Linked DNA regions of Caenorhabditis elegans. The protein of the gene in region 1 interacts with the protein of each later gene in a pairwise test. Each region holds a gene or a part of one and is shown in the gene's direction. Other genes may lie near its edges.

What was found. The genes of interacting proteins can lie anywhere in the genome.
Region 2: the proteins of rap-2 (region 1) and spv-1 interact in a two-hybrid assay, tested with the Caenorhabditis elegans proteins (one study listed by BioGRID).

The regions. Positions count from the first base shown.
Region 1 is NC_003283.11:15,059,211-15,067,161, reverse strand, and holds rap-2 (small monomeric GTPase), read left to right. Parts: upstream 1-3,074; 5' UTR 3,075-3,089; coding exon 3,090-3,224; intron 3,225-4,039; coding exon 4,040-4,132; intron 4,133-4,186; coding exon 4,187-4,270; intron 4,271-4,333; coding exon 4,334-4,424; intron 4,425-5,121; coding exon 5,122-5,264; 3' UTR 5,265-5,674; downstream 5,675-7,951. Other genes in the region: otub-1 (Ubiquitin thioesterase otubain-like), read right to left, coding at 1-691, 742-852; C25D7.9 (Transcriptional regulator), read right to left, coding at 1,845-2,027; nssp-71 (neuronal small secreted protein), read right to left, coding at 5,738-5,872, 5,923-5,987, 6,033-6,146, 6,727-6,778; mcm-3 (DNA replication licensing factor MCM3), read left to right, coding at 7,568-7,776, 7,822-7,914.
Region 2 is NC_003280.10:7,925,656-7,932,024, reverse strand, and holds the start of spv-1 (Spermathecal Physiology Variant), read left to right. Parts: upstream 1-3,369; coding exon 3,370-3,520; intron 3,521-3,602; exon of another isoform or gene 3,603-3,680; intron 3,681-3,850; coding exon 3,851-3,988; intron 3,989-4,479; coding exon 4,480-4,567; intron 4,568-4,723; coding exon of another isoform or gene 4,724-4,755; intron 4,756-5,436; coding exon 5,437-5,509; intron 5,510-6,369.

The DNA.
Region 1 (7,951 bases):
AGTGGCCTGGACGATAGAGAAGTGTGATCTCCGGAGCAATTTGTTGATCGTCAGATGGAATGTCGTAATGCCAACCACCGTTCGGAGCAGCAGTACGGTCCATGTATTCGATGCGAACTCTTGTGCCGGCGGCTTTGATCAAAGAATTAATTGCCAGATGATCGGCATCTTTCCACATTGGCTCGATTTCCTGTTCGCAATATTGAGCCACTGTCATTCCCTCATCAATGAATGGAGCATATTCTTCTGAGTTTTGTTTCAAAAATGCTGAAGTTATGAGACGGAAGAACATGAGAATATAATTAGCAGAGCCATCATCATTCAAAATCGTGTAAACAGCTTCCTCGGTATGCACTCCACTGTGGATTTTCTCAAGGAATTCGATAAAGAAGTCACAGAAATCTGTGCAGGTCCAATCCGGAAATCCAAGTTCAACAAGTGTCCGAGTCCAATCCCTGCTACTCGCAATGAATTTTTCGAGTCTGGCTCGATCTTTCAGCATTATCTCAATAAGTCCAACGAGAATTGCACGATAGAAGCAGTTTCCGTCTCCACGAATGTAGCGGATCTCTCCATACACTTCACTAAGCTCAGTCGCTTTAGAAAGGAAGGCAGCCGATGTTTCGTTGTCGTATTCAGCACAAAGAATAGAGAATGGTGCTAAAGTGGCAACAAGTGGAACAGATTTTTGCTGGAAAATTAGAAGAATAATTTAAACGTTTCTATTGGAAAATAACAAACCTCATCTTCAATTGTCTTCAACTGTTGGTCCTGCAAAACTATTTCGTCATCAGTCACCACAGCCTCCGCAGCCTGACCGTTATCATCAGATTTTTGGGGTTCATTGGCCATAGTTCCTGTTACCTGTAAGAAAATGTTTAATTTTTAGAGAAGAAAAAAGCGTTTTATGCAAAAGAAAATGCAAAAGAACAACAATTTCGAGAATGCCAAAGTCGATAAATCAAAATAAAAAAGCGAGAGCTCAGATACGTAAGTTCACCATTACGACAAATTGCACCGAACTACGGTTTGCAAACCGTACTTTCTTTTCGTAAACAAACTGGAATTTGAGTAGGAAATGAGCAAAATCAAAAGGCTTTTTTCTATTTCTATTTTCAATTTACAGTAAAAATTGCGAAGAAATTTTTTCTGAAAAGTTTAAATAAAAATAATATCATTTTCATGAATTTTAGCGCACTTCGTTGTAGGACCAAGTTTAGAGAGTTCAATATGTTCCTTTAAAATTTACCACTGTAGTTTAGATTTTGTTTGCAAACAGAACCAGTCGAAGTTTTTGTTTCTCCTTACTTTTCTGTTTTCGTTCTCTCTTCTAGCTCATTTCAAAACTTTTAAAATTAAAATTAATGCAAAATTGCATTAAAATCGATTTTTAAAAAAAGAATTAAGCTTAAAAATAGTGAAAAAGCATAATTTTGCCCGATTTACATAAGCTGAAAAGTTTCCATTACTGAAATAACAGAAAAATATTCTGAAAGCCCAACAAAAGCTGCGCCAACTATGCAGTTGACGCGTCTCTAGTGTACCGGTGCACGCAAAACACGTCAACTCTCCACAAAGACCGGTCCTTGCGGCGGCGGTCGGCTCCCCATCATCTGGTTGGTTTGCGCGGCGCCACTCTCAGGGCCGGAATTTTGTGCTCTTCGTCTCAAGACGGTCTATTTGTTTCGCTTTTTCCTTCTCTATCAGTTGACTCGAAAGTTGGTGTGCCCGGTCGTCCTTTCCTTTTTTCTTTTTCCTCGTTAAAACCCACATAGACCCCCCACCAAATCATCTCAGGCGCCCTCCCGTGAAGAAGCTCCAGTCATTTCATGTGTCCATTGTTCTTAGGCGCTGACGCTGGTGCTGTTAGTCTGCGCAACAAGAAGAATGTGTTGGGTGGTAGTTGGCCACACGCACACAATTTGGGGAGAGGACAGCCGGGGGCAGACTCCCGAATCGATAATTTTCTCAAGGGCATCAACGGACACCCCCCAACGCTCTACCCCCACCCTCATCGTCACCAACATTTCCTTTTTTTTCTCGTCCTGCGCCCTTCTTTGTTCTGATTTTTTTTTTGGCGAAAAGTTTTTGTCTTTTTTTTGAAAACTTTATTCCTTGTCGATTCCTATTTTAAATATTTCCAAAAAAAAACTTGAAAATTGCTTTTTTTTTAATTTTGGCCAATTTCGAAAATAATTGCATAATTCTTCATTAAAAACGAAAGTTGATTATTTTGAATATATAGTTTTTTTTTCAAAAAAAAAACTATGATTCATCTAAATATATTTTTTCATTTCACTTTTTCTAAAACTATGAATCATTCATATTAGGATAAATATATATATATATAAACAATTAAGAATTAGTCTGTTTTAGGACTGATTTTTTAAAAATTCTTATGTTATTTAAATAAAAATATATAAATTCAACTAAAATCTCAAATTCGGCCAATTTGTCCCATTCCTAGCGGCCGGAATTAATATTTATCCAATTACTGTCTCGTTTAGAGGATTTCTAAAGTTTTTACATTATTTTTCTGTTAGTTTGTACACCTATTGACTGAAAATGTGCCTAAATTATCAAAAAATTAGATATAAACGACCGAAATTTGCAAAACAAAGGAGCTTTAATACATAAATATTGATTTTTCGACCGTTGTGGCTCTGAGAGGTTGGCAAATTTGAACATTTCAGCTAAAGATAGCTGCCCAAAAAATTTGCTACTCCACTTTAGAATCAATTTCAGCCTGAAAACTTTTCAAATCCGAGGTTTTAATTTCAGTTTTCCTATTACTTTTCAACATCAAATTGCCGAGAATGTTATAGCAATAATGAAATGAAAAAAGGAAGACGAACGAACGAGAAACAACAAAAAAACTTTCACAATTTCCATTTCATTCATACCATCATCATCATCTCTTCAAACTTCCGTTTCATTCTTTCCCATTTTTTCCGGTTATTGTTGTCTGTGTGTGTGTGGTGATGTAATAGTTCTACTACAATAATTCGTTCTTCTTCTTTTCTCACTTTTCCCACCACATTCACAATCACACCTAATCCAATTTATTGATTTTCAGCAAAAAACTCTCAATGAGGGAGTTCAAAGTGGTCGTTCTGGGTAGTGGAGGTGTCGGAAAATCGGCGTTGACGGTGCAATTTGTCAGTAGCACATTCATCGAGAAGTATGATCCGACGATTGAGGACTTTTATCGCAAGGAAATTGAAGTGAGAGCGATTCATTTTATTTTAAATTTAAAAAAAAAAAAAGAAAATTCGGTTGAAATCATGGCGCTTGAAATTTTCAGAATGGTTTAAAGTTTCTAAAAATTCATTAAAACATTATATTAAGCTTTGAAATTGAAAGATTTTAGAACTCCCATTACTTGCTCCCTGAGAAAAAGAATTTTACAGTTTTTTCCTACAATATTTGATTTTGTAGCATTTTTACTACTTCTTCATGTATTTAAAGCTATAAAAGTTCTTGTTTATAGGATTTTTGGGGATTCTATGTGTTTTTCGGCGAAAGTCTAAAAATTATCGGTTTCAGTAGTTTTTAATCAAAAAATCATCAGTTTTCTTGTAAAAAACTGGAAAAAAGAGAAAATCTGTTGAATACCGAACGAATTTGCAAAAAAAGTCAAAAATCGAGCATTTTAACGAAAAACTGTAAACTCCTTCTCCTCGGGGAGTACACGAGCGATCGTAGCTTCAAAATTGCTTTAGAATTTTAATTTTCCCAAAACTCCCTTTTAAATGTTAGAAACTAGTAAAAAATAGTGCAAAAGCGTTTTAAAAATCTAAATTTGGAGAAATTCGCCGAAAAATTGCCGAAACTAGTCATATATATTCTAAAATCCAAGAAAAAGGAAAATTAGACTGAATATTCGTAAAATCTGGTAAATTCGAGCCAAATAATCTGGAAATTAATAGAAACCGAGTAATAAGTTCAAAAAAACAATTAATTTGGGTAATTTTAAGCAAAATAAATTTAAAAAACTACGGAAAACAGAAAAATTAGAATGAAAACAATCAATTTCCAGGTGGACGGTCAACCATCAGTACTGGAAATTCTGGACACTGCAGGAACGGAACAATTTTCTTCGATGCGGGATCTTTATATCAAAAATGGACAGGTAAATCTTGAATTTTAATTAATTATCTAAAAATTATTTTTAATTTATTTTCAGGGCTTCGTTGTTGTCTACTCGATCACCAGTCAACAGACGTTTCATGATATTCGAAATATGAAAGAGCAAATTGTCAGGGTTAAGGTTGGCTTTTAACTTTAAAAATGTATTGAAAAATTGTGAATTCACTAAAATCAATTTCTTCAGGGATCCGAAAATGTGCCGATTTTGTTAGTTGGAAACAAATGCGATCTTTCACATCAGAGACAAGTACGATCAGAGGAAGGATTGGCGTTGGGTGAGACTTTTTTAATTTGAAAAATCAAATTTAAATTTTAAAAAAATATACGAAAAACTGATATTTTGAAAAGAAAAATAGCCGCAGAACCTCTTACACAGCTTTGTGTCGATTTACGCAGCTCGTGTACTCCTCGAGGAAAAGGCTTTTACAGTTTTTGGCGAAAATTCTTGAATTTACGCTATTTACGGCAATTTGTCAATCTATTTTTCATTCATTGTGTTTCAGGTGAAAATAAACATATTTTTCTGCAATTTTTAATTGCAAACACAACGATTTTCGCCTGAACCACTGCCAAAAAGAGTTAGATTCAATGTATTTGGATCGGAGAACTGCAAAAAAAAACAAAAATTTTGCTAGTTTTTCAACAAGGAATACAATTATTTTCACTCTAAACAATGTGAAGCTCTCCTCCTCGGGGAGTACAGCTTCGTAAATCATTGCATGGCCATGGTCAAAAAATATTTTGTTAATCGGAAAACGAAAGCTTTCGATTTCCAGAAAATTCAAAACACAAAGTTTTTAACATTTTATCAAATTTTGTTTGGGAAAAAAGTTTATTTTAATAATACAATTTACTTCTAAAAAGAAAGAAATTTTAAAGTCATTTTCTGGAAAAATCGATTTTTTTTCAAAATAGAAAGTGATACAATTTTCAAATAAAACATTATTCAAATAATTAATTTTGAAATTTCAGCCGAAAGTTGGTCATGTCCATTCACTGAATGTTCCGCAAAAAACAATCAAAATGTGAATGTCACATTTGCGGAAATCGTACGAGAAATGAATTATGTGCAGAATAAATCAAGACAAAGCAAATCATGTTGCTCTCTGATGTGACCCGAAGCTTCATCCCCCATCCCAAACATCCCATCCCATCCATTCTCCCTGTTTTATGATCTTTTACCCCTCCATATACCCCATTCAATCGATTCGTTGGGATTCACAAAATTGCTCATTTTATATCCATATTTGCACATGTAAATCGTCCACGGTCGTGTCACTTTCTATTTAAACCTGCGAGAAATTCGATGGCGAAAATTCGAATTTCAATCAATTTGTAGATTTTTTACGGGCTCACATTTTCTCTTTTTTTCCCCCATTTTTTTGTCAATTTTTGATTGATTTGCATGACTTTCCTTCTTTTTTTTCCACCCAACCCCTTTCCATACAATTTTCGTGTGCTATGAACATGATGAACTTGCTCCAATTTTTTCCCGATTTATTTCACTAAAAAAAAACAACCTACTGATGTTTTACAACGAATTCAAAAGCCAAAAATGGCACAAAAACTTAAATTAAATTTTTTGGAATTAGAAAATTAAAAAGTAGGAAATTGCAGGAACGACGATGGAGATGAGAATCGAGAAGCTCGTTGGACTGGAATTACAGTAATCTCCATTGCAAGTGTAGCATTGTCCGGTTCCACCTTGGGCTTGGCATTGCGTCTGGAAATTAATTTTTGCACGAAAAAATATATAAATTTATTTTTACTTACCATAAGCTGAGTACAGGCGACCAGGGCATTTCCAGGATCATTACATCCTTTAGTGGTCTGACGGACTGAAAATTCAGATTTTACAGATAATTTCCAGGCTTAAAACTCACATTTCTTCGGATTGTTCACTTTACAGTCGAACTTCATGCAGGTGTAGATGTTTCCCGGGCAGACTTGAGTGAACGCATTGAGAATACTATTTTGGACGAAGCATGTTGTGGATTCTGAAAAAAAGTCAATGTTCCAAAGCTCCAAGGTCTCGCCACGAAAGAAATATTTGCAAATCGTGAAAGGTACGCGCCTTTAAGCGGTACAGTAACGACTTTTTTTTTCAGATTTTTCGGTTTATTTTCAACTTAGTTTTCAAATAAACATTTTTGAACCCTGGAAAAACTGTACCTCTTAAAGGCGCACACCAAGCCCCTTAGATCAGATCTCGACACTACCCATTATTAAATTTGCAAAAGTGTTTGCGCCTTTGAAGAGTACGGTAGTTTCTAACTTTTCTCAGAACAGTTTTCTCCTGTTTTCTAAAAATTGTTTCATTCTCAAGTAATTTCACTTGTGTAATTATCATTTTTTGATACTTAAAAAACGGAAGAAAAAACTATAGCAACTAAATAAAGAAAACCCGGAAACAATCTGAATACTACAGTACTCCTTAAAGGTGCACACTCGTTTGAAGAATAGTAAGCTAATAGATTTTGTCTTAAAAAAGTCGTTTCGAGACCCGGTACAGTACTCTTGGAGGCAACACGTTCAAAATTTCGCCAGTCCTGTTATAAATCTAGATTCAATTCTCACCTGTCTCTGAAATCCAGAGTACCAGAATCGAGATTGCGAGTAGAAGTTTCATGGTTTCGTATTCGTATCGTATTGCGAATATAAAACGAAAAAGCACAGAAAAAATAGCTTTGTGAATGAATGAATGAGTGAAGGCCCGAGCGGCGGCGGGAGGGTCCGATAGATGTTGTTTCAAACGGTTTCCAATGGTTTCCAGCACGCGGTGCGCTCAAGTTTCTAGGAGACAAAGTCAAAGCACTTAAAGCTTTACGGCATAAATTTTGTGTATATGTGTGCTTTTGTGACCACTTTCTTCCCATTTCTATGTATAAATGTATTACGAAAGGTGCGTCCTGGGGGAGGCAGGGAGAAAATAAGAAAGATGGGATGAATAGAATGGAAAAGCATCTGTGTCTGTGAGTTTGTGAGTACTGAAACAATAGATTCCATTTTTGTGATTTGTTATGAAAAATTGAGGAGATTTTTGGAAGAGATCTTTTGCATAGATCACGGGCACAAATGTTATTGATGTTTTTTGAAACTTGAAATGACAATTTTGAACTGATAATTTCAGACAATTTTCATTTTATTCCAGGCATTTTTATTTAAATAAAATTATTTCGCTATTAATAGCTATTTAAAATAAACATGTTCAAACATCACTTTCAGGTGCATTGAGTGCAGCGTTGCGTCATGGTGTTTACGGAGCGAGCGCGCGAAACCTTGCTGTTTGAATGAGAAATGCGCGAATTTGGGCCGAATTTTTCTATTTTCCCCGCTCTTCTCCGTGCTTTCTAGTTTCTATTCGTTTATTTTTTAATTTTAAGTTTCTTTTGTTAAAAACATCTTATTTTCAGAAAAAATGGACGGACAAGCTGATGGAATGTTCATTGATCGTGCCGAGGATGCTCGAAAACAAGAAATCACGGAGCAGTATCTCAACTTTTTGGACAATCAAGCCGACACTTTTCACTATCGTCAGAAAATTGTGAAAATGATGAATGATGGAGAAAGTCGTTTGGTGATGAATCTCGATGAAATCAGGGAAATTCTACCAGAAAGAGCTGAAGGGTAATTAATAAAAAATAAAGAATTCCCGAGTATTAAAGTTTTCAGGCTATTGACCCAAAGCGTTCTTGAGATGAATTGCTTACAATCTGCACTTCAAATGGCTATTAATCGTAGTGATGTTCAAGCTGTTGTCAAAACGTGAGTAGCTTTTAAAAGCCGTTTTTGTTTTTAAACA
Region 2 (6,369 bases), on another chromosome or scaffold:
CTGATCGATTTATCACCTTGCTTCTTCCACTTTTCCCCGTTCATTTTATCGTTCCTCTCATCGTATTTTTTCTGTTCTGTTTCCACCATCAAAAAGTCATAAAACCATCGGTTTTTTTTGCATGCAAATACTCACCTATATCCGTCCCATCTTACTATTTGTTATCCCATCATCACCACTCTAATCTTTCTTTGTTGTTGTGTGTTCCATTTTCGTTTTATTCATATTTTGTCTGAAAATATGTGTTTGAAAATGTTTCCGTTTTGAAAACAAGACCCATCTTCAGAGTCTTCTGCATTTTTCTTCATTTTTTCTTCTGCTTCTTATGTTTCCTCTTCTAGTTCTAAACCTCATTAAACTGCGGCAAAGCGGGGGTCCCAGACCCGAAAAAAAACTAAGAAAAGAGTCCATTATTTTGATATATTTGTTTCCTCCAGTTTCTTCGATCATCCTTTCTCCATTGGCTCCACATGTATCTCCACTCTTTTTTCTAACTTTTCACAGGAAGTGTTCTTTGCATTTTGAAATTTATGATGACTTGCCTTTGCAAAATATTTCTTGCAAGAATTTGTGAGATTTTTTCATCTAAAAAATATTTGCAGTTGTTGGTATGTAGAAGGACATGTTATTTTAATAGTTTGGAACTCTGATACTTACTTAAAAATACTTTTAAAAATGAGTTTCGAATTTTAGAGCAGGGACGCTCGGAAATTTCCAAAATATTCTACTACCGGACACCTCTACATACTTTGGAGGTATTACAAAAAATGAATTAAACTTGAAAATTAAAGAGGCCTCGAATTTAGTCAAAAGATATGCTCATATTTAATGATCTCCTAATTTCGATGACTACATAGTTCCAACTGATGGTAATTTCTACAAGCTGTAAGGAGTATTAATCAACTTGACCTAATAATTTTAAATTTAATTAGTTACCCCATTCATTTAAATGTTGACCTGCCTTCTAAACCATATAAACCTATCATGCTGTCATCTCATCATCATCCCGTTTAGTACATACTAGCCGTGTGTTTCTAACTGTCTTTTGACATATCTTCCTTTTTTTCGGTAGCAGCTTCTCTTATCTGTTTCCATCTCTTCGTTGAATCTATTCCTCCAGCCACTCAATTCCTACCAAAACCCGCGACTTTTTCGACGCCTCATCTGATGACAAGGTTACTTCAACTTTAGAGACCTCCCAAATGTCCCACTCCATGTATCTTATGACTATTGTTTTACAATTTGGAATCACAATTTATAGGAAATTGAATGTCTCGTTTCCACACCTTTTCTTCTATGAATGGTCTCATCTTCTGTCGGCGATTGACTTCTCAGTACTCATTTTGACATGAGTGACCTTTTTCTTGTTCGAATCTATTGAAATGTATTGCATAAACTTTAGTTTTTGTTCCTTCTTTCTCTGTGGCATTCATCTGTTCTTACGAATTCTTGTAATAATCTTCTACATCAAAAATCTTTTTTTTTGTAATTGATAAATAATTGATCTTCTTTATCTTCTTGTATTCCCCTCTTCCCAATTTTTTCCCACCCATTTTTGCAAGTTTTCGTTCAATGTCTCATCATTCCACACGGTGACTCAAAATAGCATTTTCGAATTCTATTTTCGGTTATTTTTAATTTTATCCGAGTATATAAAATTAATGTGGAGCAGTTGAAAACAACAAGTGGGGGTAGGCTGAAATAAGTGTCGCAAAATATTTTCAAAAATGTTCGCAGTGATCAAAATAGTTTTCCGTTTCTTTTTTGTTTATTTGAAGCTATGTTTTGTGTATAGATTAACACTTTTTGTTTAAGTTACGCTGTAATAGTTTGTTTTTCTGGAAAAATAATGGGAACTGCAACAAGAAAATGCTCTTGTTCTAAATTATACTCTACAATATAATTTCTCTTTTCGAATTGTGACACAAAAACTGAAGAACAAAGACAATAAAGTTCGGAAATTGAAATTGAGTTCTCTTGAAATTTTTCTGAAAAAAAAGCACACATTTTTCCTTTTTTTCTGAATTTTCCGAAAAAAAGTTGTCCAGTTTCAAAAACAAAGCAAAAACAAAAACAAAGTTCCTTATTTTAAAAAGTTATTTTTTCCATTCTAGAGTGCTTTTTGAGCATTTCCGTTTCGTTCACCCAATCTGTGGAACCAACAAAAGAAAGCGTGGGGCAGAAAAAGGAAGAATCGCAGACGTCATCCTTCTCTCTTGTGCTCCAGAACATGATGATGATGATGCGGATAGGAAAAGGATAGTTTTTGAGAATTTTTTTGGGAAAAGTTTTCACACCATATTTTGAAAGATGTTTTTTCTCTATTTGAATTTATTTTCATTATTGAAACTGAAATTTCCGGGGTTTCCCATTTTGAAATTTTGAGAACAAGATATTCAGTTAAGAGAATAAATTCAATTATAAAATTGGATTTCTGTAGAAAATTTGTATCATCGTAGATAAAAAAAAAATGTAACGACAAAAATTGTATTCATTCATTTTTTATTTTCTACTGCTATTTTACATTCCGTTTCTGTTTTTTTTTTTTTGGAAAAATAACTTCATATATCCTATTTTCCTCTAAAAGATCCGTGTTCTCAAAATATCAAGAAAATTTCCTGATTCTTTCATTTTCAATAAACCGAACCCTTTGATCAAACCACAGTTCTTGCCAGTAGGCGTTTTCTCACGCATTTCAAGTATCTGCTCCTTTAAAAATTTTAAATTCAGAAATTCGAATCTTTTTGATGAATTCCTTTTTCAAACATTGTTGATTTTAAAATATTCTACTATCAAAATCGCGAAAAAGAGAAGGAATTCGTTGTTTTCACCAAAAAAAATGTATAACGGGAGTCTAATTGATTAGATCTGTCTTTTTTCTTTTTTCGTGACAAAAATGTGAATCCATGTATCTTGAAGCATTGCTTTTCAAGGTTTATGAACTTTCAAACCACCTCTGTTATCAATTTTTGAGATCAGTGAAACGTGAAAAAGAGGAATAGTTCCAGTAGAAAGGAAGGCATTTTTATTGGACTTTTTTTGAAAACTAGCTCAGTAGGAATAGAAAATAGATATATATTTTCCTGGAATGTGCTCTTGTTTTTCTCTAGTTCTCATTCCTAAAAGTATTCTGGAAGTGTCTGAAAAATTATGTCATATCTCTATCGCGCACAACTTTTTCACAATTAAAAACGGAAATATTTTCTTTGAAGCTCTTTTTATGATTATTGTTTTTTGTTGTCTTCCTTTCCTTCGTTGATCATGGAATACTCTTGTAATTGAAACCGCTTCAATGAGCTCTTTCTTTAATTTATTCTCAAATATTTTCAGACAAACTCTCAGAAAGTTGACTGAAATCAAGTCGACGCAATGTCGTCGACGAGCAGTATATGCTCTTCAAATGATGCCGATTTCATTGTTGACACCAGAATTCCGGCATCAATACGTAGAGATATTGATCGATTTTCAGTTTTTATAAATCGACTTCGGTCAACTTTGGATCTCAATTCTTCGGTTGTTGGTATGTCTGAAAATTAAATTTTTTTAAAAATTATTTATAGAGTGTAGCGGAAATTCAGGAAAACGCGCAAGGTTAAGAAAATACAACTAGATTTTTAAATGTAATGTTTCGGTGAATGGTTTAAAATTTGAAACTATTTTTCAGCAAAGCCTTGAAAATCGAAAAGCCTATTTAATAATGTACTAACAGTTATTTTGGAGCACTAAATGTTTTATCTGATCCTTGAAGTTTCCTACGATCGAACTGTAACTTCCAGAGCTTACATGTTTTTTTTTTAAATTAACGTTATGTAATACTCAACTTCCTCATCTGAAATTACAAATTTTGCAGACGGTGAATCAATGTGTGTAAATGTGCATGCATCATTGGAAATGGTGTCAGAATCCATGCGGGACTTGTTTAAATACTCTCAATTCAAAACAAATCCCATCATTTTGCTGTCTCTTCAACTTGTGCAAGCCGTCAAAGGTATGTGTAAGTGAGAGCATATTCTCTCATCTTCTTCTCTTCTGTTGCTCTTCTGCACACATTTCTCATTTAATTTTACTCTCTCTTTTCGTGGAAAAAGACAAAAAAAAGTTGTTTTATGTGCATCATCACAGGAATACTAAACGTATTTCATTAGGCCAATGTTCATTTTATTTCCGGCATCATTTGATAGTTCCTCTGATATTCCAATATATTTCAGTTTCAGAATTACTATTATTAGGTTTAATTCTAGATACATGTTATGTAATTGTTTATTAGGAGTTTGAGCTTTTACATAATTTTGTAAAAATTGTAACGATTTGACTTTATTGGCGTAGAATTTTATCAGTCATAAAACCTACAACGATTTCAAAAAAATTAATCTCAAAGTTTCATTCAATCAGTATAATCAATTTGTAATGCTGTTCCGTACACTGACACCAGTCTTCTCTGAACCTGTCAAGAGAAGTCTGAAAAATTGTTCATTCCAGACTTGAAATTTGATACGTGCTCTGTGGATACGACTCCGGTTCTGAACATTATCGATCAGCTGGAATCAGCTGTTTTAAACATCATTCTGTGAGTTCCCGTCACCTTCATTCCCACACACCCACATTTCTCACCTCGTTCTTTTTTCTTTCGATCTTCCTCTCTCAATGATTTGTTTCGGTTTGATTTTTGAGAGTTAGACGTTTTTCCCTCTACCGGTAGGAGGAATGCGTGTTTAGGTGAAATATGGATTTTGAACGAGGAAGGAATTGGATAAGGTAATTCAAAAACTCTCGAAAATTCTCTAAAACATTGTATTAATTAGAAAATTTAAATAGCTTGTTTTTTTAATTGGCAGTAGCCTTGAGAAATTGTTTTTAACCTGGTAGTTCGGAATTATATTTTTTCTTGCATCAAAAGATTGTTTAAAAAAATCAATTCAAGTTTTATATTTTTCGGAAAAATTGATTGAGCTTATCCTTTCTGTAAACTGAAACAATTCAAAAGTTAAACAAGCCATTTATTCATTCGATTTATTTTTGCATGGGAATATTGATCATTCACATCGTTTCAATTGAATGATGCTGTTTCAAATGTTCAAAATATTTTCTCTGCAAACGCTGCTCCGACGAGACGCTACTAGATTAACGGTCTACGCTCATATACCAAATCACGCATCCAGTAAAAAAGTGTGTCTAGTCGCGCCTTTTCTGTACCTTTTTGAAATATTTAATTGTTTAAAACTTTCTCACACAGATGGAAATGCCAATAAATATTGGCATTTCACTTTTCTGGTTATAACTAAAATGTTAGATTATTCAAGATTTAACAAAAAACGTTGTTTCCAACGAATTTAGATTCTTTCTAAGTAGAAAACTACGCAGGGTTTTTTAAAAATCTGAAAAGAGCGTTTAGTGTTATTGAAATTAAATTCAAAATTATTCATTATTCATTTTCAGAAACCGTCATATTGTTTCATCGGTTCATCATACGCCGAGTAGAAGTTCAACGTTAGGTCGCTGGAAACAAAATGTAAGCTGCATTCTGATCTACAAAAAAATCTTAAAATTGATATTCCAAAAATTTCGAGAAACGTTGTTTTTTGGTAGCGGTTGCTCTCCTGTTTCGTTTACATACACATACGTATTTTGTTTTTGTATGTGTCAATCCATGGTTTTCTATTTTCCCTTTTCTTCAACTTTTCGTTCTTCAATTCACTCCCAACCTTTATTCATAGTTCTTCTTTTTCAGTTCATTTACTAAATTATTTGTTTAATGCGGTCTCCCAGAAATAGGTCCTATGGGAGAGTAAGTTGAAACATATTTGATTAATAAGATTTTGAATAGTATAAAACAAAATTTCCTGCTGAAAAAGTGAAACATTTGAACATCTATTTATGTATGAGGAAAATGAGTTTCAGATTTTCTAAATCGTATTTGAAGTTCTTTAAATCCCAAGTCAGCGATGTCAAAATAGCAAACCAAAACCATGAGTCAGATGACAATATTCTCCTCAAATTTTCCAAAAATTATGCAAATTTTTTTATCTTATGTTCCTTGTGATCTGTTCAAATTTATTTCGAAAATTGTAAAACACAATTATTATAATATTTTTCTATTAGAATGAAACGTTTTATAAAAGCAAAATACGAAAATAATCCGGTAATGTTAACTAATAAACTTTCAAATTTAACATTTTTGATAGCAAGATTTCTGAAAAATGTTCCTAGTGAAAACTGTTCACAGTTGTTTTAAATTGTGGTAAAAGTTACTTTTTTGAATTTAAGTTTTGCTGCCTTGAATACAGTAACCTATTTATTCAATGACAGTTTAAACTAAAACATTTAAAAAAAAAGAATGTTTACTATTTTCTATAAAACTGCAATATTCTG